Linked DNA regions of Mytilus edulis. The protein of the gene in region 2 interacts with the protein of the main gene of each other region in a pairwise test. Links are inferred from orthologs where the notes say so. Each region holds a gene or a part of one and is shown on either strand. Other genes may lie near its edges.

Evidence for each region.
Region 1: the proteins of cAMP-responsive element modulator-like (region 2) and testis-specific serine/threonine-protein kinase 4-like interact in binary tests that used the Homo sapiens proteins (3 or more experiments, as listed by UniProt). The link is inferred for Mytilus edulis from reciprocal best matches to the Homo sapiens genes CREB1 and TSSK4.
Region 3: the proteins of cAMP-responsive element modulator-like (region 2) and CREB-regulated transcription coactivator 1-like interact in binary tests that used the Homo sapiens proteins (3 or more experiments, as listed by UniProt). The link is inferred for Mytilus edulis from reciprocal best matches to the Homo sapiens genes CREB1 and CRTC1.

The regions. Positions count from the first base shown.
Region 1 is NC_092348.1:65,301,450-65,309,444, reverse strand, and holds the start of testis-specific serine/threonine-protein kinase 4-like, read right to left. Parts: upstream 3,390-7,995; 5' UTR 3,262-3,389; coding exon 2,563-3,261; intron 1-2,562. Other genes in the region: uncharacterized protein, read left to right, coding at 5,000-5,051, 5,737-5,844, 6,234-6,457, 6,940-7,065, 7,748-7,927. UniProt on the Homo sapiens protein: Serine/threonine kinase which is involved in male germ cell development and in mature sperm function. May be involved in the Cre/Creb signaling pathway. Phosphorylates CREB1 on 'Ser-133' in vitro and can stimulate Cre/Creb pathway in cells.
Region 2 is NC_092345.1:72,167,114-72,175,448, forward strand, and holds the start of cAMP-responsive element modulator-like, read right to left. Parts: upstream 3,711-8,335; 5' UTR 3,564-3,710; exon of another isoform or gene 3,303-3,563; intron 1,263-3,302; 5' UTR 1,251-1,262; coding exon 1,074-1,250; intron 349-1,073; coding exon 266-348; intron 1-265.
Region 3 is NC_092347.1:28,358,072-28,366,783, reverse strand, and holds the start of CREB-regulated transcription coactivator 1-like, read right to left. Parts: upstream 3,872-8,712; 5' UTR 3,822-3,871; coding exon 3,711-3,821; intron 3,596-3,710; coding exon 3,479-3,595; intron 3,354-3,478; coding exon 3,225-3,353; intron 2,042-3,224; coding exon 1,980-2,041; intron 1-1,979. UniProt on the Homo sapiens protein: Transcriptional coactivator for CREB1 which activates transcription through both consensus and variant cAMP response element (CRE) sites.

The DNA.
Region 1 (7,995 bases), on a different chromosome or scaffold from region 2:
TATGTGAGGTTATTTGTGTTTCTGTACGCTGGAGAATGAATGAAAATAGCGAAATTGTCAAATGAGTTGCAGAAATCTTAGATTAAATTCGACAAATATTGTTGTACTTTGGGCATAAATTTTAAATAGAAAAAACAAAACAAAAAAACAAACAAAGGCAATTGAATTTAAGAAGGAAGAATTCATAAAAAATCTACATTTCAGATACTATCGATACCGATTGAAATTGTAAAGGACTTTATTATCTAGGAGTAATCTTTTAAAACAAATGGAAACTTTATGTTATGCAAATCCCCATTAGCAGAAAATGCAATTAAGCAATTATGAAATTATAAAACCAGGACTTGACATAATCTTTCTTTCATTGTCCAACTAACCTTTTTGATAAAACCTGTCAATCCGATTTTGTAATATGGTTGCAAAATGTTGGGATACACTGATTTTAAATTTAAATATCAAATGCTGACTTTAAGACAAGACTTTGTATGGTTTTTGTTCCGATTGGTTATTTCGGTTGAAAACATTATAAATTTAACTAGTATGGGTTTTCCTAAAAACGGAGGTATCAACTATTCCATATTGACAACTGGATTAAATGTTAGATCATTCAAAACAAACTTTACAGCCAATGCTAATAATTAATCTAAAACTATTAATTATCGTCTTTTCAAGGAAACATAAACTTTCGAAAGATTATTTTAAAGCATACTTGGAGATAAAGATATCTTCACATTTTGAAGATAAGGGCATTTCAATCATAACGTTTCTATCGAGAATGGATTGATTGATTGATTGTTGGTTGCTTAACGTCCAGTGGCAAATATTTCATGCATATTCAGGACGATATCGAGAATGGAAGATGAGCAAACATTCAAAGGGAGAAAACAAAATATCGCATACGTAAAAGTGACAAAGGCGATGAATTTCATTATTTCATGATTTGCCCATTCTTCACAGAAGAATTGAAGAAATACACCAACAAGTCATTTAAACGATGGCCGAAGTGAGCCGACAAAAATACTTTTTAAGACTCATATAGTACTGCACAGAAAGTTTGTACATAGAACTATCTTGTTGTTTTATCTATACAAGTTAATCCGGAAGTAAAACAACAAGATAGTACTATGCACAAACTTTCTGTAAAGTACTACACAAGTTTCTTGGAGAATAGCATCGTCACTTGTGGCAGTGCTTTTCTTGATTGTCTTTTTTAAAAACTTTGCATGAAGGTTTGATACCTTGATTACAAATTTGAAATAGTTATATTGTCAGGAGAAATGAAATGCAAAACTATTTTTACAAGCTATTAAACCCTTATAAATAAGAAGATGTGGTATGAGTGTCAATGAGACAACCGTCCACCCAAGTCATAAAGTATAAAAAGAACCTTGCAATCTTTATAATTGTAGGTGACTATTTTCAATTTTAGAACTTTAAGTTTCAAAAATCAAAGTTCTACTAAAAGTTTCTTTAAATGAAAACAGTTAGAAATGAACTTGAATTGCTGACGAAAACAAAAAGGGGGGAAGACGAATATTTTTTTAACAAAATACTTCAAGTAAATTAAAATAATAGACCTATCAAATAGTCAAGTTTAAATAATTTGCACAATGTACATAACTACAAATACTTCTATGAAGCAAAAACCTATTTCACAGAAACGCTACAGTAGAGCTGCCTTAAAGTTTGCATGTGTGCTATGTTTTAATTTGTGTTTGATTTTAGTTGTGCTAAAATTTTAGTTGTGATTCAGTTTTGGCTTGTTCAAATATGTATTTTAGTGCTGACAGTGGTCTGCATGTATTTCAATATGCCTGTTCTGTTATATATCTTGTCTGCATGTTGTGTGTTTCAATGATCTGTTAATGTTATTTTATATTCGGTAAAAAGCTCTTCCGAGGTTATGTTTGTATTGTTATATATGTGAACCGAATCAAAATAACAGTTTCGTATTCGTATTCGTTAGTTTCAAGTTTGTTTAAAGAGGTAAAAAGGTGTATGGTTCTTGAATTACTGGCCTATAGGTAATAGAAGTGTTGAGCTGAGAATACGGATTAAAGATCGCTACTCCGAGAAAGATGACTTTAGAATCATTTTCAAAACAGTGTGGCTGTGGCCATTGATTGACGACCTAAATTATCCCATTGACTGGGACAGATTATGTGAACGTTTGTCTGTAACGACAACTGCTCACTACTTACTTATTATAGAATTTAAACCGTGGGGTCATCAGAGGTTCTTAGCGCCTTTAATAATAAAACAGTTCGAAAAATTAATCACGATTAACTTTTATGTTTTGATTTATATTATTGATATAGATCAAAACATCGTGTTATTCCTGATTATTTTTCGAATTACTTTATTTAGGTGTTGAGAACCTTTGGTGACCCCACAGTTTAAGTGTCTTTAATAAGTACATAGTGAGCCGTGATCGTATCAGACAAGCGTTCACCTTATAGTGTCCCAGTCAATGGGATAATTTAGGTCGTCAATCAATGGCCACAGCCACACTGTTTTGAATATGATTCTATTTTAAAACCAATACTCTTCAAATTTACTTACCATTGTAAATAAAACGACACCCATACTCCAAACATCTGCAATCATAGGATCATAAGGGGATCCTTTTAAAATTTCTGGAGGTGCGTATGCATAGCTTCCGCAATATGTTTCACTGGGTTTAATTTCTCCTAATTTTCCTTTTACAAGTCTCTTCGCAAATCCAAAATCTGTGACTTTCAAGTTTTCATATTTATCAAGCAACAAATTCTCACATTTGAGATCTCGGTGTACAATTCCTTTACTATGCATATATCCTATACCTTGTGACATTTGATAAAACCATTTTCCAGCAGTATCTTCTTCTATTGCTTTTCGTGAACGTATAACATCCAATAGATCAACATGGCCACATTCCATCACTAAGAAAAATCTCGTTGTCGTTTCTATTACTTGGAAAAATTGAATTAAATATGGATGCTTCAAAACTTTGATCACGTCGATTTCTCGCGGTAAAAATTTAACTAAATAATCTTCCGGTGCCTTCCTTTTCGAAATTATTTTGACCGCTACTTCGTGTTTTCTGTTGACATCATAAGCTGCACGGACACATGCATATGATCCTTGACCTAGAAATTTTCCTACTACAAATCCTTGTGACTCCAAAACTGCGAAACGCTTATGTAGAACTCTGCTTTTTGCAGAGGAAACTGAAATAGCTTCTGCTGGTGTTTTCACTCTATTGTCTTCTCCATTACTCATCTTTTCTAAATTTCACTATTAATGAAGTCCATGTTGATATTTCTGCGACCAAGAGCATTTTTCATTGTAGACGTTTGATATTCGTGCAAAGAAGGCATCTTGTAGTTACAGACATATGCAAACGTCACAAGCGGTACTAAGGACGTCTTATGGTATATATCACAAACGTCTCAACCATCTTTAACGTCATGTTCAAACTACATAATACAGCAACATCGGCGCTAATCGACAAGCTATCGTAAATCATTTTTCTACTGATTTTCAAGTAAAGAAACAAGATATACATTTAATCATCCATACTTCATATCTGCACAGGATACATTTTCACCTGAAAAGAACTCGACTGATAAAAAACACATATTGATAAAAACAATATCCCAAAATGGTCTATGCAAGGACATTAATCATGTGTTGACTGGCGAAAATACCCATCGAAACAAACATTATGTTTGCTACGATCCACTTGTTTTCTTGTCTCGCTTGACACTAATTTCACGGTCCACTGAACATAGAAAATGAAAGTGAAGGTAGTTTTTGATGAAATTGAAGTCCAATCAACTTGAAACTTAGTACATATGTTCCCCATGTATAGTATAATCTTTCTAATTTTAATTCCAAATTAGATTATTACCCAATTTCACGGTCCATGGAACATGGAAAAGGATAGTGCGAGTGGGGCATCCGTGTACTTTGGACACATTCTTGTTGTACACTATTTCAAATTGTACATGAATTAAAAATTGTGTATCGAAGGCCACCCGATGAGAAAAAAGGACATCATACACCCGAAAGAACAATAGATAGATAGTAATTTTTCTTTTAACAATTTATTTCGGCTAGGGATGTAAGGAACCTATTTATATTTTTATGCCCCATTTATGGGCACTATGTTTTCTAGTCTGTGTGTGCGTCCGGCCGGCCGTCCGTTCGACCGTCTGTCCCGCTTCAGGTTAAATTTTTGGTCGAGGTAGTTTTGAATGAAGTTGAAGTCCAATCAACTTGAAACTTAGTAAACATGTTCCCTATGATATGATTTTTTAAAATTTTAATGCCAAATTAGAGATTTTATTCGATTTTCACGGTCCACTGAACATATAAAACGATAGGTCACCATACGGCCTTCAGCAATGGGCAAAAACAATACCTCATATCTAACTATATATAATGATGAAAAGGCCCCGACATGCCAAATGTAAATACTAAAAAACTAACGTACTGAATTGTGAAAAATAACAAAATTAAAAACGGCTTAGTTTCTATTCTTAACAATTTCGCACCAGGTAATACGACGAAGTAATTATAATATAATCAGGAGCCTGTAATTCAGTGGTTGTCGTTTGTTTATGTGTTTCATATTTGTTTTTCATTCATTTTTGTACATAAATAAGGCCGTTAGTTTTCTCGTTTGAATTGTTTTACATTGTCATTTCGGGGTCTTTTATAGCTGATTATGCGATATGGGCTATCCTCATTGCTGAAGTCCATATGGTGAATTATAGTTGTTTTAAATTTCTATGTCATTTTGGTCTCTTTGGCAATCATACCACAGCTCCTTTTATATATATATATATATGTAATAATTATTTGCGTATTTCATTTTATCATTGAAACTGATTCAATATTCAGATAATAAATTTTGTTTATTAATTATGTTATCACTTCGTCTGGACTGACCGTCCAAAGATAACCCGATTATCAAACAAACAACGTCTGTATCAACAGCTTACATTTTGACACCATGCAATACTATGTATTTTGCGGGTTGCTTTTTCGTTGCGTTATATGTTTGGGTGAGTATTTTTATGAGTATTGATGAAAAGAAATAATTAGCAAAATGGGGGGAATACAGAATTTGAACACCACTGCACTGGTGATTTTTGCTTGTTTTTTGTTGTGGCATTACATATAAAACTTATGTTTTTATATCTATTTGAATGCTTTTCGTATACTATTTTGTTTTGTTCTTTTTAGTTTGTTTGTTTAAAATTGTATTGCCACAAACCTTGTAAATGTTTAATGACAATTAATAAAACTAACCCACGAACCTGTTTCTATTGTTATTTTCATATCGTATAGATACTTTACTTTTGAACATATTTTGTAAAATGACGAAATTAAAAAAAAATGGACAGAACAAGCATTTTTAACAAGTCGTAGGCCTCCTCCAATATACACAAAATAAACACGTGCACGACGATTGTCATAAGACAATGTTTAACATACGTACGTACACTTGACTTAGAAATATATAACATGTGTAAGGAAAAGGCTAAGATAATATGGATTGTATAGTATATGGTGTTTTTATTTATCATTTGTGAAGTTTTTTGTATACTACTGAGTACTAGAACATATGCCCAGAGTACAATTGCTCTAAAATTCGTTTATTGTATGTAAAATACATACAATCCTCTCATTGGGTAGATAGAAAAATGAAATATTATTGTTTTGCACTAACTCCAAATTGTATTTTAGGTATTAACACCTACGTAGATACTGGTAACCCATATACAGATCGTCCATTAAAAGTTGGCGGACTGACACTAAGCAAAACCGGACAAAAAAGTCCTTTACACACAAAAGGTAACTTACTATACAGCTTTGATCGGCGAGAAGTATCGATCAACAAGAAACAGTATAATAAACATTACCACAAAGTCAATAGATTCAAAAGCAAAATGTAAAGGACAATTCCCAAACATGTTAGCTTTGTATAAAATTGAGAATGGGGAATGTGTCAAAGAAGCAACAACCCGACCATAGAGTAGACAACAGCCAAAGGCCACGTATTAATTATACGTAAAAACCATGTAATGAATTGTAATAATTCTACTTTTAATGAGATCTGTAAAATATTTCATTGTTTTGTTCTTAAATGAAATCGTCTATTATGTGTTTGTTTTTGTATAATTCTAAGTTGTTAGTTTGAAAGATAGATTTACTAATTTTCACTTAAAATATTTTCTTTTTAGTTTATTTCCCACTAGAACCCGGATTTTACCCGGCTGTTTTGTTTATTGGTGGTTTCGATACGTATGTGTTGGCTGAGTACTATGAAACTGTACTTTCAAGAATAGCCTCCCATGGTTTCTTTATTTTTGGAATAGATTACGCATTTCCATTGGAAAAACAAAATTTGATAAATGCTGGCGAATTAAAACAGGATATTTCGAAGTACTTTGAACAACATGCATGGGTGAGTAATTTAATTCGGATTGCATGCAGAAAATGTGTTAAGATATATTCTTACTTATAACCAAAAAAAAAAATGTAAATTTTGAAAAGACACCTGTATTCTAATCTGGTCCCAATCCGTTTTTTGACGAATTCAAAGTCATTCGCTATGGTATAAAAAAAAATACGCTGAACAAGAGAAAAAAACAAAAACAAAAAAAAAAACTGGTGCAGACACTTCACTTTCTTTGTCTTTGAAATGTTTCACCCTCAATTATAACAAATTTTTACTCAACACGTGCCTTTACCTAGTCGGACTACATAGACCATGCGTATGTACGTCTGTTGTTTTCGGAGTCATTGGCTGTTTTGTTAATGAGGTCTTTTATATTGTCTATAATATCATTAATAATTCTGTTCTCATTTTTATGTATTATTTCCTTTTCAGTTGGGCTTTAAACATAATGAAATGTTCTTCATACTACATTTATATGTGCTTTTTAGCTTCAACACTATATGACAAACAAAACGTTAGGAACAGTTGCATGGAACACTACAGCTTTGATGTGTCATTCCTCCGGATGTGACGCAACATTGAAAATGATCAGAGAAAAACCTACTATGTTTACGGTAGGTATAATATCTCTATTTTATCGTCATTCACTTGCATGTTTATAATATATATCAAATGGAGTAAGTAAACAATGAGATCAACATTTATTATCATATTTACTATTTTGATATCATTGCAGATACATTCGTGTTTAGCTCACCTGGTCCAAAGTGATCTTTATTTACTAGCAGCAGTCCATAAATTACAGCTTTAGAACCGTAAACGGTTTATGACAATTAACAGTTATCAGAGGTTAAAAAAGACACTTTAATATTTGAATAACCTCCACTCACACCAACCAACAGTAAGGATATATATAAAGGAAGACAAAAGTGATAAAAAGTCTAGAACGCAAAATACAAATTATATTTTACAAAAAAGAGTGAAAAATACCAAAAGGACATCCAACGTCATTAGACGAAAATCATGAAGCTTAAAACGCCATGGCTAAAACAGTAAAAAATACTTTAAAACAAACAACAGCATACAAAATACGAAATAGAAAAATAAAGACAGAGCATCACGAACTCAACCATAACCGGGAGTGATACCAGGTGCTCCGGAAGGGTGAGCATGATAATTGAGCATGATAATATGCTCCACACGTGAAACCTGTCGTACAAATTATCAAAAATGAAAATTTAACCCTGTCAATTATGCTTTCAATCTAAAGTTTATATCAGTTTGCATATTTTGTAGTCAACAATATTTCTAGAACCAGTGAGTTTTGATGTCAAAGAGAAAGTAGATATACGCATGCCTGCGTTTATGTACGGAACAGAGCTTTCCACGGTGGGGCATCAGTGCGTCATACCAGGATTTAGTTATAATAAATTCTACGAGATCTGGGGATGTCCAAAAATTGTGATGGAAGTAGCCGTGAGTATAGGATTAAGATACTCAATGTTAAGATTTTTCTTAACTCGTGGTAGACAGGAAGTTTAGAT
Region 2 (8,335 bases):
AATTGATTTGTGTTTTATACTTATAAGCATTGTGTATTTGTGTATAAATGTTTGAGGCAAACAAAAACCAAACCAGTTTAAGGACATACTCGACAGACAAATAAGGGTTACACTTAATGCACCCTCCGCTACGGCATGTGCATAAAATAACGGACACACACCATTTTATGGACACAATATGAATTTTGAGGTTAAACATGTATAAAAGTAATGACAACAGCTCACATAGAATTACAATGCAACACAGAGCTAAAAATACATTTACCTATATGATGGTCTCCTTGACAAAATTTCTCGTCTTTTCTTTCCTTCAGGGTCTTCTGTCAATTCATCATCTACTGGAGCTACCTAATCAAATATTTCATAACAAATTATATCAGGATAGTAACAGAAACAATAAAATAATTTACATGAAAATTAATAATGTATACAAAAATACAAATGTATTTACTTGCATGTTTACAAATGTTGATATTATTTACCAACCAAATGTTTTTCCTAGAAATTTTTTCAAGGATGGTTTAAGTAGTCTTCAAATGTTCAGGATAAGTGCTTATCCATGGCCTATCATATAAAGTACATACAAGTATATCAAAAAGAAGCACAGCAACAATCATGACAATAGCGCTGTTTATTTACTTATTTTGTTATTAAGGAGATAACTGTATTGTATTTTAAGCTCTGATGGCATCAATTGGGGATTTGATGGTCGCAAATTAAGTTTACTGGTGACGCGTTAGCGGAGACAATAAACGGGTGTTTGCAACCATCAAATCCCAAATTGATGCCGTCGGAGCTTAAAATACAATATTGTTATCTCCATTCTAATGAAACTGACAGAAAACAACGTTAAAACATGTATTTAAAAACTGTCATATGCCGTCTGCGCTTGTGCGTACGTCCCATAGCATCAATTGTCAATTGATGCCATGTAAGAAAGTGACGATATCCAATCAAAAAGAACGTTACAAACGTTGTTGCATTAGAATCCTTCTTCATTGTTTTACCATGTACATTTGTACATCCATTTTAAAAATATCTTTCCCTTTCTAGTCTGTTGGATTAAAACTTACCCTTACAACCTGTATAGTCTGTACATTAGGTCCAGCTGTTTGAATGACTGAGGGTTGATTTGGGTGTATAACGGACTGTACTTGGATTGGTGTATTCATGGACATCTGTACAACAGATAAGCCTTGGGAAGTATCCAGGTCTCCATGAGCATGATGAGATGGATGTACCTCTGTCATCTCTTACGGACTCTGAAAAATATAATAATGAAACTAAGATAAATCAGAGTGCCCACCCGTATGTGATAGAATATTTCTCTTGTGGCACAGTGCCACAAGAACAAGAGAAATATTCTATCACATACTCCAAATAGAATGAATAGAAAAAAGACCATCTTTTTCAGTTTCAAATGAAGTATTTGTATTTGTAACAGTATTAACACATACATACATTTGACCAGCTGCCAACACATAACATACATTACACAAACATAAGTATAAACGTGTATTTTAATGAAAAGAATCTAGCATTTGACAAAATATACAATGTATACTGGTATATGGTGGTAATTACATTGTATGCACCCAACTATAAAACTGGTACATGCATATGGTGGTAATTTAAATTACATTGTATGCACCCAACTATAAAACTGTCATCTGTTGTAGTTACACACAACTTTAATGAATCACACATCACCTAGTCTGGGATCAAAAACAATTTGTGCTGAAACCAGTGAAGGTTGCAATGGACATGGAAGAAATCACCTGACCAACTTTTAGAGTGCTGTTTTTATACTACAATAGCTTGACAAACATGTATGCAAATTATATAAGATATCATTAATAGTATCAATTAATAACCAGATAATGATTTACAGCTCATGAAATTGGAATAAGAGAACAGTTTTCCAATTCCATTGTTTAATATAATCACCAACGCATATAATTTATCTGTTTAAGAGTAATAACTAAAATATATTTATCCTACAAGAAATGTCAAATTAATGTACACACAAGATTACTAAACAATATTAATTTCTATGGAAAAGAGGCACAATATTGTTGTACATGTATGTCACAATTTCGCAATCCCCCCCCCCCCCCCTTTTGGTTGGTAATACAGGGAATCACTGAAACATGATGGGAGGAGGTCCCCTCTTAGGCAGTCAGTGGACCAAAATAGACTTAGTAGTATTTATATTGTTTAATTGCAGAAGTGCTTACCAGTATACATTTAAAAAAATAATATGAATAAATTGAGAAGCATGACAAATCGCCCCACTAATGAAAAGAGGTAAAATCTGATACACAATCAAGGGGAATAAATTCTGAGGATTTTGATGACAAATTCTAACATGACGACTGATTTTAAGATTTATGCATTGAACCAAATATATGATCTTATCATTATTTGTCTGCCAATTATACTGGACATTAAAATTTTAAAAAGGTTGCCACAAAATGGAAAATTTTTAAAGGGATTGTTGTATGACAGTTTAAAATCCAGTGTAGCAGATTTCCAAATAGAAATAATGTCTAAAGACCTTATAGCTAAATTAGACTCTGAAACACTTGAACTAAATGTATTGATGTCATAAATGTACATGTTCCTCCTGTTTTGTTGCATCAAAACATCTCTTTTGACTGGAATGTTTGCATGACCAGTAATGGATGGACAAATAATAGTGGTGAGAAATATTTGCACTTTGAAGTAATTTGGTGTACTTATGGGACCAACAGAATAGCTTATTGTCGACCACTGATGTTCCCGTAAAATTCTATAATCAGTTTTTTATCGCAAGAGAAAATAATGCCATAAAAAGAAAAGAGTATTTAAGAGTCAATTCCAATGGCTCAATGTCATTGATTTTCCAATTGTCAATAAGACCTTTACAAATAACACAGTAATGTCATGGCTGGTGATAGTGGTGTGCACTAAATCAACCTCATACAGGCATGCGCCGGAAAGTAATCCTCAAAAAGTTGATGGTATTCCCTAACTAAAGAAGAAGAGAAGAAAGAAGAAGCATGTTTGATGTCAGATTGGACAATTTTTGCAGGACAACAAATTATGATTTTATTTTATGTTAAATTTGACAAATATAAGTAGTCTAATAATAATCATATAATGTATACCATTATAAACATGATATAAACAATAAACTATACTGTTTAGATCTGTTTACTCTTTATTTTGAACTGAAATATAACTGGGTAATGCATTTTAGATTTGATGTCGAGTAAAATATGCTGAGTTGCTTCTCTGACATTTTGCTTAGTGAAACTGACCCATATTCTCTCTGCATTCTCCTGTTCTATTTTTACTTGTTGAAAAGTCCGATTTCCAGAGTGGGACAAGGTACATCAACAATCTGCTTCTTCCGGTTAATCTTCTGAGTCAGCTGTTGTTGCTCTCACAAAGTTCCTTTTGTGATATAAATCACATTCAAAAATTTGATTTGATCGTTTTGAAAATAATGATCCCCTCCGAAGATAAGCGTATTCTCTGTTATCAACTTGTTTGTTTTGTTTCGTCAGTGGAGTACTTACTTGTTACGTACTTTTCGTCACCAATTTTGCAGTAATCGGAGTGGATAAATTTGCAGAATACGTAGTCGCCACGTCAAAATCTGGCTGCAGCGTCACAATCAGGAACAACAAAACTGCTGAATAATATATTCATCCGCGTGGATTTCCTATTGCACGATACCTGATTGGTTAACTTATCTCACATGACGTCATACTGTCCAAATATAGACCGTACTACTTTTTTGTATCTTGCGGGTATAAAATTTGATTAAATTCAAACTGAATTTGATAAATTACTTTTTAAAGAATTATTTTTCTTTCAAATTTAATAATTAACAATCTGTTGGTTTATACATAAATTTCAATTTCAACGTTTCATGTGTTTTTATTATTGCGGCGTAGTTAGCTGGTTTGGTATTTAGTAATTCGCCAGGAAAGATTCAAAGTACTGTCACCCGAAATACACGGGTGTCTCACGGGGAGTCCTATATTATGTAATTTGATATGTATTCTGTCATTTATTGGATTTTCATTTTTTGTTAAAATCTTTATGATCCCCAGGGGGCCAAAATTTGTTAATGAAATTGATATTGTCTTATCCAACTATAGGCTACAAATCATTTTCTTATCTTATAATTACTCTAATTACTATAGTAATTAATTAATTGCCTCAAATTCGAAAGTTTTAGATTTTAGTTGTTTATATGATTCCGATATCCACAGCCCTATAGATATAGATGTCGACATATATAAATGTACATGTGAATATGGATCTGTGCCGATTAATTCGATGAGCGGAGAGAAAATAAAGAAATGGGATATAAACAAGAAAGAAGATTTTATTATAAATTTAAACAGAGAAAAGATTTCTGAATTAGAAAATTATCTTGAAGAAACCAAATCTTTTCATGCTGATTCAAACATTATTAACAAAGCTGTAGAAAATATTACGAACATATTTGTTACTTCTGCAAAGAAAACATGCGGAACATTAAAAAACAAGTCAAAGAACGAAAATACCCCTCAGAGTACAAGATCACAAGATGAAAAACCATGGTTTAACATAGATTGTAGAATTGCTAGGGAAAATGCGAGAAAATACAGAAGAAAATATAAATTAAACAAATTCATTGTAAACCATGAATATGAAACGCAGTGAAAGACAATACAAAAATACCATGAACAGAAATATAAAAAAGTATAGGAAAAATGTGCGAAATGATATGAAAAATATGAAAAACACGAACTCAAAAGAGTACTGGAAAATTCTAAATGGAGGCTCTAGGAAGAAACAACCTAATATTTCATTGAAAAACTTTATGATTTCTTCAAAAATTTAAATCAAGGAAATATAGAAGAAGAACAAGAGCTAAACTACGAAGAGATTGAAAGAAATATCGAAAATAATTTATTAAATGAAATGATTACGCCCGATGAAATAATAAGAAATATAAAAAATCTTGAAAAATAACAAGGCAAGCGGTGATGACCTGATTATAAACGAATTCTTCAAAGCTACGTCACGGTGTGCTTCAACAGAAATCGTTAATATCTTTGTAAAGTTATTCAATCTTATATTTGATACAGGAATCATACCAGACAGTTGGTTATCTGGAAATATACATTCTTTATTTAAAAATAAAGGAAATCAACAAGATCCGCAAAATTATAGACCAATCACTATTCTTAGCTGTTTTGGAAAACTGTTTACGTCCATCCTAAATGAACGATTAACGAAATATTTTGAAAACTTTTCAATAATACATAACAATCAAAGTGGCTTTAGGAAAAAATATTCAACAACAGATAACATGTTTATATTACAAAGTCTCTTCGACCTAACTAGATCGCAAAAGAAAAAGTTATTCTGTGTTTTTATTGATTTTGCTAAGGCGTTCGACACAGTTTGGAGATGGCATTGAATCACATTGATGGAACAATGCATACATTAATTAATACATAGTATGTACAACAATATAAAATCAAGAGTTATATACAATAATCAAAAATCTGATTTTTTCCCCATGTAACACTGGAGTTAGACAAGGGGAAAATCTTTCCTCTCTATTATTCTCGTTATATATCAATTAATGACCTCACTTTTTTTTTCTATCACATAATGTGAAAGGTTTGTCATCAATATCGAACTCCCCTGAAACTAGCCTCAATATCTATTTAAAGCTGTTCGTTTTATTATATGCCGATGATACTGTTCTAATGTCAGAAACAAAGGAAGACCTTCAAATGCAATTAAATTGCTTCGGTGAATATGGTGATACTTGGAAACTTAAAGTAAATACATCTAAGACTATAAAGTTTTAATTTTCTCTAAAGGAAGACAGCCTAATAATATTAATTTCATTTATGAAGAAAATGAAATTGAAATAGTGAAAGAATTTAACTACCTTGGACTATTGTTAACAAGATCCGGATCTTTCAATAAAGCAAAGAAAAGACTATCAGAAAAAGCAACAAAAGCTATGTACAACGTTATCAAAAAAGGGAGGCAGTGTAATTTATCAATTGAATGCCAATTAGAGTTATTTGACAAACTGATGAAACCAATTCTTCTATACGGATGTGAAGTATGGGGATTTGGAAAAAAACACATTATTGAACAAGTTCATCTCAAATTTTTAAAGCATTTACTACACCTCAAGAGATCTACCCCAACCATGATTGGGTACGGTAAAACCGGACGATACCCATTGGAAATAAGCATTAAATGTCGAATGATAACATAGAATAAAAATAAAAACAGTGTGGCTGTGGCCATTGTTTGACACATTAAAAATCATCCATTGACTGGGACAATTTACGTGAACGTTTGTCTGTAATGCCCGCGTCACACTGTCCCGATTTTTATATACGATGGACACCCGAATGCTGAAATTGTAAGTTCGTACGAAGTTGGTCCCGATCTCGTTAAAATACCAAAAAGTGACCGAAGCAAGTACGACGAATAACGAAGTTTATACGATGGTGCCGAAATTGTATACGATAGCAAAAGATGGACATACGAAGGTTAGCCGAAGACGGGTATTTAAGCTTCATATCTCAGCCGTAGCCTACACGATTGATCACGAAGGCTACACGATGGATTACGAAGGCTACACGATGGATTACGATGATGGCGCGATGGCCATACGATGTCTAAAAAATACGAACAGAATTTCGACAACATATCGTTCCTGTACAAGTCTGCCATGCATGGCGGGTATTCAATCTTTTTGTCTAATTCTTATAAAACTTAGTTTATTATCCCCTCGCCTACTCCATGTAAGTTGCGTGTAGATAAAATTGTTATGGACACTCTGGAACCAAAATGCTCAAAACTTGGTATGGTGTTACTCGTTAAGAATATCTTAAGCGCTATTGACTTTAAAGTTCAAAGGTCAAGGTCACAGTGGCAGTTGTAATACAAGGCAATATCCCCCTTGTGGACACTCTAAAACTAATATGCTTCAAAAGATTTTAACCACATTTGGTATATTGTTCCTCCTTGTAATGATCTGACATTTTTTACGTTCAAGGCCAAAGGTCAAGGTCATGTAGATGGACTTGTTTTTTTCTCCTTGAAATAGCATAATACCCAGGAAATTGGTTGCTCATTTTTTTACCTGCTGGTTCTAAAGACAATATTAAAGGTATTTCCAGGTACTAAATGTTTTGGTTGATTTCTAAAAAAATAGTTTATTTATCAAATATGCATATTCAATTTACCATTTTCTGCATGTGTCATATATACAAATACAGTGTCCATATTTGTCCCCAATATGTTACATACGAGGGGATGCCACGCTCGGCATTGCCTTGTTTGAACTGTAAAATGTGTGCACTAGTCTGAATAATCACCCATAATTATGCCCATGTTTACTGATCTGTCTTAAAGGTAAGGTAATGGGTTCGTTGATCCCTTTTATTCAAAAAGAGCTCTTTCCAGGAGAATATCACAATAATATAGACAAAAGGAAGGATGTGGTGAAAGCAACAAAGGCTGCAAAATATGACATATAGAAAACAAAATGGTTATGGAGTAAACATTCGTGTGACAACAACTCAGACGATACATAAAAAATCAGAATAATAAATAAAAAGTTGGTTTCCCTATATACGTGTACCTGCAGTGTTTGTGTACGAGGCGCGTTTATTTAAAGGAACCCCAGCATGTAATGATATGAAACAATCCAGATGGAAAAGGCCTGAACATATCGCTCTTATCATAACTAACGTTTTTGTCTTTTCGTGTTGTTGTTGTGAATAGAAGAAATTGAATATGTTCCGACATTGTCTAATATAAATTAAAAACTCTAAATTATTTGTCACCTTTAATTATGTTACTTGATATAAAAAATTGACAAAAAATAATATTTTACTTGTAAAAGTAAACCCTGAGCCTGTAATAGCTGATCTTCTTGTTCCATTTGAATTAATAGAAACAACGCTGTTGCCTTTCTTGTTCTCATAGAATCATATAATATGAGCTCCATGTTTTGTGAACGTCTTTCTTAACTGTCGTATTGGACTGACCAGTTCATATCGCGCATGGCACTTTAAATGTATTTTAGCGCGAAAATTAACTTTCATTTAGCTGGATTTATTGCCGTCGTAGTTCCATCTTGTCGTCTTCGTACTTTTATTCGATGGCAACACGACGGGATTACGAGGTCTTCACGAAGTCGTGTTGCCATCGTAAGACCTTCGGGTACCTTCGTGATTCATTCGTGTAGACATCGTAATGTCAAAACTGCCCAATGGAAACGATGGAAACACGAATGCAATACCATGTTTAA
Region 3 (8,712 bases), on a different chromosome or scaffold from region 2:
TTGTGCCGTTTTGGTAAAATTGCCTTTTGTTTCATCGATTTCTTATCAGAAGTTCAATTACATATCTGACACATGATGATTGCCCCAGGTAACGAGGTTAATCATGTCATTACAATCAATTATAGTGGATAAGACTTCAAAGGTGTTAATTACTAGGTAATTTAATTTTAAGACAATGTACCTTTTTGTCATAAATATGATGAATGTGTCGGCATTTTCTTTTCGATCCTCAAGTCACCATGGAAGAGTGTATGAATGAAGACTTTCGTAAATTTAGAATTGAATTGAAGTTATCAAAATAAAACTATGCCTTTACAGAAACATCGCTCATCTCAACTTGTGATTGTGAGCGACAAGCAGACGTAAACATGGAAATTAATTTTGGAGTTATTTCCCCTGAAAAAGCTTATTACAAAATTGTGCTCCTAAAATATTATCTAGCACTAAAAATAGGAAAAAATAACCAATTGAATACAAAATTATATAAGAATGTTACCTTAAGGATATTAACAGTCTTTGAACATACAAAAAAAAATATATTGCAATTTATTTTTGATAATCATACTTTTGGCAATCCATGTTTTATACATTGTCAAAAAAGAAATATGAATTTTTAAAGTTCTGAACAGGTGTCCAAGCTATGTACTTTCTAATCTGAAAGTGTGCAGTTAAACTCTCATCACAAATCAACTTGATGAAGCTACACTAAATAATATATTGCTGAACATGAACAATGAAAACAGGTGTTGAGGTCCAAGCTCTAGATGAAATTTTTAAAGTACTCTGTCATGTACATGTATGGTAAACTATGAGATGTTTAGTTTATGATCTTTCTTTTGGAAGGAGAGGGGGTGGGGGAGAAAAGTAAGTTTATTTTGCCTCTTTTGGTTAATAGTATGAATGTGTATTGCCATGTTTTATGAACATGTAGTATGAATGACTTTTCTTATGCAAATTTTATAGAATAAATAATCAAAACAACAACTTATGCATCTTTATTAACAATATATACAGAAAAAAAATATGTGAAATCGTGATACACTCAGGGACGTAGACAAAAAAAAAATGAGCAGTGCCTTCTCCTATCATAAAAAAGTGCCCTGCCCTCCACTGGCACCCTGCCCCTTTTGAATTCTAGCTAGAGCACTGTATAACATTGACTATTTATAATTTAAGATTCTGAATAGCATATTCATATATGAAATGAAGATTATACATACCCCAAATCAATATATAGTTATCAAACGTAAATGCATTTTTATATAGTATGTTATAAAAAGGAGGGTAATTTTTATATAAAACCTCTCAAAAAAGGGGGAGGCAGTGCTGTGTATTTACTATTAATCCATTTATGCAACAATTACCACTTGTGGATCAGGATAAAATAACATGTGCTTCCTGTCATCTAACAAATTTTAATTGGAGTGACAGTTTAATTTGAAATTATGGTGTTTTTTTAAGTGGTGCAGATGATAAGCCCAACATCATTTTGATGTGATTTCTCTGGCTTAGTTGCAAGACTGTATTTATGTTATATTTAGTATTTCTAGTCTGGTTGGTCAAGCCATTTAAATCTTTTTCAGTTTAAATTAATATTTGATGGTTACAGTATTGATCCTTCTAAGAGGAACGATGACTTTAAGGCAAATGAACAATAATTATTTTGCAAAAGAACCTCTTTACCCATTAAAATAAGAAATTTGCATTTGAATATATATAAAACCCAGATTTTGCTTTACCATTGATTTTTGCATGAGAAATTAAGTATATAGGATAACTGTGATTTAAAATTCCATTGCAATACCACAAAAGCAAAAAAAAAATATTCATTTGCTTGTGTTACATGTAAATCAAACCTTATAATATTCAAATACTTTACAAGCATATATAGTGTGTGATCACTCAATAATTAGTATTATAAGACTGGTATATAGTTAAATTAAAGCAACTGATAAAACAGAAAATTGATTGTTGCTTACCTCCTCCAACTGGTGTCTGGGGGTGGTGACAAGTAAGCTGATCCATAAGGGGAACAATTTGTCTGAAAAAAAAGTATTTGTGTTACAACTGTTTATCACTTCAGAAGAGGTCCTTCAATGCCACTTAGGAAATTTGTATGCAAAAATCAAGTAACATGGGAATAAAATAAGAAGGCTAAGTTAGCTTAATTTAAATCATTCTGTTTAGGAGTGGTGCCTTTTTTTCTAGAACCAGATACATGATAGCTATAAAAAATCAATGTTTACAAAGGTGTATTCAAATGGTGCAATTAGTGATCAAATAGAAAGTACTATTAATCCTAACAATGTTTGTTGAGATTTATTTGTCCAGTAGAAATTTTACCTAAAAGGACAATAACAAGGAATTTGTATCAAGTTTGAGACCCCAAAAAAGACACAACATTTTGCCATGATTTAATAAAAACTTAATCTGACAATCACACCATTTAAAGAAATCTTATACATGTATTTAAAAGTCATTGAAGTGGCATTACTGGCACTGCTTCCCTTAATGTGACCTACATGAAGTTCATTTTTGTAATTGTCTTGTTACAATTTGGCCATAAATTCAAGCATGTCAGATATTATAGTAAATAAAAATTTCCAGTAACTTTTTTATCTTATAATTCTATCTTGAGTAATGTTGTGCAAAATCATTTAGGCCAAGTAAAACAAATTGCAGCAAATTATAATAATGCCCTGGAACTATTGCTGGAATCATTTTGTCAGGAGTGTACATGGTACATATGTACATGTATATGCATGTGTATGCAATGTGCATGTATGTCAATCAGTTATCCAACCTAAGTCACAGCCATCTTTAAATAAATCAAGCAGAAATAGACATGCCATTTGCACCAAAATCAGCAATACACTATATTGTGATTTGTTCAAATAACTTCAATACTGAAAACTAGTTGAAAGTCCTAATTTATCTAATATCAACTAGTATGATGCCGAGCAGTAATATGCATTTACCCAGTTAACTTCATCCAATCAACATTGTGCTTATTAAAAATAACTGACTTACTGGACTCAATAATGAATTGGGGAAACTAATGATATTTTTCCAGACTAAAATATCAAAGAAGTTTTCATATACAACTCGTGTTCAAAATTATGTCAGTGTGACATCAACCTGAGTCAAACAAGACATTTTCCCAAAAGAACCTGTTAGCTAGATGTGAAAAAACATATAAGTTAAAGTTAATAAACTGTGTGTACCCTAGCTTTATCAATTGGAAATCCTCGTCTGTGCGGACCGAGTGGTCTCCCCTTGTCTCTGACTGCATGGAATCTACTGTCCATCCGGTTTGGCATCTGTCTCAAATCATCCAAATGTTGAAATGCACTCTATCAAATAAAAGATAACAATTCAAATAATGTTTCATAACAATAATATTTCATTAACATAATCTATAAAATGTAAACAATAATCACACGAGACGACAGTTATGTCAACATCGTAAATATCTCACCTGTAGATCTATACCGGAATTTGCCACCATCTGGTTGACATTTGGTAAGGAACCGGCTCTGTACTGTGTACTTATGTTTTGTTGGAGTTGAAGATGCTGCTTTTGCATCGACGGGACCTACATATAAATAAATAACAGCGAAAATTAGTTTCATGTTGACAAAACACGATTCATTAGTCGACATAATTAGAATGCTACCGATAAGGCGTTTCAAGCGACAATAATAACAAACCTTCGTAACAGGCGTAACATCCCGCATTATTGCCTCGAAAGCAGCAGTTTCTTCTGCTTGTTTTTGATTGTGTAATGCTATTTTTTCACTGAACTTCCGTGGATTCGCCATGATGGCAGAAAAGGACAAGCTTGTTATGATTTTGACTTCGCAGGGGGCCTAATCTATTGTTATCCAATCAAATCCATCCGTGTAATACATGTGATCTTTGATAGGTGGCAGCACAACAAGCACCTGCTAATCTATATAATGCTGAATTTTCATAATTTAAAAGAAAATCAGTAACAATAAAAGGCTTAAGCAGTTAAAAATTCAGTCATATTAATGATATATAAAGATTTAAAATCTCGAACTCATTTATATTTAATGTTATCATACAATCTGAGATTACATGTAGCTATCGAGACGTTTCGGCCACACTGCCAGTTCGTCCACTGGCCGTTAGGTTACAGTTAGTGAAAAGACGATTTCAAGTTTGTTTCTGCCATATTTTGTTCATATTGTTTATCGATTAAATAATGTTCTGAAATCGAATTGTGGAGGTCCTGAAATATACTAAAATAACCAAAGGAACGCAGTTTCACTTTCAACATAATATTTCGCAATGCTGACACTCATATGCATTTCCCGAGTGGACTGATTTATAGCGGCTAAACACCCATTTAATACATGCGTAACCAATCTCTAGCTGAGGGATTTAATTAAAGGTCACATGAATACGGATTCAATGAGGTCGAATTGTTCACTTGCAAGTGAATAAGTTATCAGCGAAATTTCTTAGCTTATTTTGCTGACAAATAATATATTGTACAAAATCGAAATGATAAATATCTGCCAACTAAAACGCAAAAAAAATGCTTAGCAATAGATATAAATAAATGATCCTACCGAAAACACCACCCAATATTGGCAGAATACCAATAGGTCATATCCTTATAACAGTCCGAGGTCATGAACATGTTCACGGTGAAGGGTCTGTCATCATTTAACTGCATGCTTTTCATTTTTTGCCCGGAATGTGTGCAGTTCTTGACGATTTTAAAAACTTTGGACGGCTGTAACCGAAAGGTGATAATCATTTCAAATTTATCATGCTGACCTTCAGAATCCAAGCACTGAACGTTTCGTTTTTACTGCTCACAATATCCGACACTCTTAATCTAAATACGCAACGGAAAATTCATCATATATACTAGTAAAACAAAAATACAATAAACTTTTAGCCACGATTATAGTCTTTTGTTGGCGATTGATAGACATATCTTTTATCGACGTGGACTAAAAGACATATCTTCTTATTTCGACAGTGGCTGATATAGACAGGGACTGACAAGCATATCTTGAATTTGGCGTAGCTCCATTATTGCAGTGAGACCGTGATTTACTGCCTCACCAATTATATAAATGTGACCATCGAGACCTATATCGCCAACCGTAGAACTCGCACAGAAGGGGTGTTTAGTGTTCGTTTGATTATGCAGCATGTCACTCAATACTCTAGGATCCAATATAACGTAATTTAAGTATCCCCTTTACAAAGTTGTAGTCTAAATCGACTATCCTTCGTTCCATCGATCGACCTTTTTTTCTGAACCTAAGTTGAGGTTGGATTTATTTATTTGTTTGAATAAACCTCAGAGGTTGACTTGGGTATGGACATGTGTGACCTCCATGATATAGCAGTAAACATATGCTTAAGAAGGGCGTTAGTTTGGTTATAGTCGGATGCACAAGTTCACAGAATCATTCGATTGGAATGTGGACGTTTAATAAGATGCCCAGTGTTGGGAGAGTGCTACACCCTCTTCACGTGGGTCATCAATGCTCTTGAACTTTGTACTGTTTGGCTATATAACAATTTTGATCTGAGCGTCACTGATGATTCTTATGTAGACGAAACACGCGTCTGGTATATTGAACTACCTTTGATATATTACTAGTAACCCATGCAACGACTCTTTCTGTTATCCACAATGTTAGAAAATTTCGGTCCATGTCTATACCCTTCTTCCCCAGTGTAAGTGGAAATTCGAACCCTTCATTCTGGTCAATCTATTCTGCAGAACCTATTTATTTGATTATTGTCAATCCGTCATCTACCTGAAACAAAACCTGAGATATTTTTTTATAATTTCAACTTGTCGCTTGACAGTCAGCAGAGAACAATCAATCGAATAATCAAACACGCGCCTATAACATTCGACTTTTTACTTCAGTGTATGACATGATTGCAACTCCTTTGAACAATCAACTCTGGATTCCTTTCCGAATCCTTGAACGATCCGATGAAAGTAAACATAGAAAATCACTCTGGACGCACTAAACTGTTTTACAAATATTGTATTGAAGGTTCTTAACAAAATTCTTAATTTGTTCTGATCGGAGGTTTTTTTTTTTATTCCTAATCCGGAATTAAAAAATATTTCTTTCTAAAAAGAGAAGACCAACATTATTGGGAAAGAAATTGAGGGGCATCTCATATAAACTGTTAACTTTCTAAGTAATTACTTCAAGGTTACAAAACGTCCATCAAAACAGTAGCCATCGTCTTTCGCTGACTTTTTTAATAGGAACTAAATTAATGCCATGCTATACCGTGTCAACTTGAAAATATGTATCCTGTACACGTGTTGCTAGATTGTTGTTTCATAAAATTGAAAGCTCATTTGCATCATTTCGCATTTCGGTTATCAAAAAATTCTCCTTGCCGATTTCTTTCTACCTGTCTAAGTCTTGATACATCTAACTGTATTTGTGGTAACTTTTATTTTCAAGTCCAATGACATAGATGCCACCAGCGTAGTTGAACTTTGAATCAGGTAGGAAATAAACTCCTCATATATACCAGGATTGAAATTGTGTATTTGCGCCAGACGCTCGTTTCGTCTACAAAAAACTCATCAGTAACGCTCGATTCCATAACAGTTTAAAAAAAGACCAAATTAAGTACGAAGGTTAGGAGCATTCAGGGCCACAAATTCTTCTTGTATATCGTGAAACGTTAATGAACGATGCTAGCTTAATTTACCCCCCCCCCCTTTCCGAGTTATTTTTATGTTTTCTTTATGCAAAAACTGGAACAAGTTGACGAAAAACGGTTCATCACACTTTTCCCAATGGTAATACCAAATGCACCAAATGAAACAATGATGCAGTCGATTCAAAAAAATATGCACCCTGTTAATATTAGGACCGATACTTTTTTGTAAGATTTTCTACAAATTCGATTTGTAGTCAACTGAAGCAGTGACAACGCTTTAGGAAAAAGTTATAACTCTTAAATTATTACAGGGTAAATGAAGTCATAACGCACAGCATCTTACAACACTGATTGTCTATTAGTCAAAATTTCCATAACCAATCCTTTAAACAGGTTTGCTTTCACAACTTTCAACTTAAATAAATCAATGGTTAACATTAACACAATATATATATATATATATATATATATATATATATATATATATATATACGGTGCACACATGTATTTAACTATTAAATCCTTTGTTTACATTTCCAGGTTGATACAGCGTATATATCTACATACATGTATTTACCCCATATCCATAAGTATTAAATAGGTTAAACTGACATGTTTCATTAAACTATAACGTTTACATTAAACATATATACTCGTCAACTGAAAAGATGTAGAGTTTGAAATATTTTTAACAGAAAACAATTAAATTAAAGGACTTATATAAAATAAAGACAAGAAACGTGTGTAGCGCTATCATAATAACATCTGTCTGAACTTTTAATATTTCATTTCAATGTATAACAAAAATGTTTTTCTGTTACAAATCACAATGTATTGTTTTATTTGTACATGTCATGCTGCACATCAAGGGTCCTTGGTTGGAATAATACATATGATTCTATGTCATGCTGCACATCAAAGGTTCTTGGTTGGAATAATACATATGATTCTTATTCTTATTAAAAAGAAGTTACTCGTCTTAACTCGACTAATTCTGTTCCGTCATCCCAGAATTAAAAAGAAGTCACTCGTCTTAACTCGACTAATTCTGTTCCGTCATCCCAGAATTAAAAAGAAGTCACTCGTCTTAACTCGACTAATTCTGTTCCGTCATCCCAGAATTAAAAAGAAGTTACTCGTCTTAACTCGACTAATTCTGTTCCGTCATCCCAGAATAGGAGAAGAGTATCAGATTCATACAAGGGTTGCTGGTTGTAAAATAAGTTTAATACGATCCGTAATATTTGTTTACTCACATTTTTTTAAGCAACTGAAGAATATTTACAGCGACATCATTTGTACCCTGGTGGATAGTTGACTCATTGAACAAGAGAGGCGACAGCTAAGAAAGGGACATTCAAAATCATAAGTAGCTAAGGCTAAAAAAGAAAAAGAAACCAACAGACAAATAAAAGTGCACACACATAACATAAAAAAAACTAAAGACTAAGTTTATAGTGAATATTAACCATATATCAAGGGAAAAAATATAGGAAATGCAAAACCTGGAGTATCGTATTAACTGGGAGATATAAACTCCGTATGCAGGCGCTGCTTGAATGTTTGTACATACAAACGGAAAGTTCACAATTGGGAGGTTGAAATTATCTTTTTTGTCTCACAGTTTTGTTTTCAACCGACCCTCATTGTCAATTTCTAGATGTAAGTCAAAATATGAGGCAGACTTAACTGTATCCGTTGTATCATTTATCTCTATTTTGATTAGATAGATGCGCTCAACATGGTCACCAAATATTGAATTACCCGTATTTAGTGAGAGAACATCATCTATGTAGCGGAAAGTCAAGTTAAAGAATACTGCTTACAAGTAAAGAATACTGGTAACTTCTTTTTCTTTTTCTCCAAGGTGTTCATGTTTGAACAAAGGTAAGAGTCGACAAGAAGAGGGACACAGTTGGTTCCCATGGGAATGCCGATTGTTTATCGAAAAACACGTCTTCCAAACGAAACAAATTGTTGGCAAGAAAAAAATCAAGCATCTTGATAATGTCAGTTTCAGAG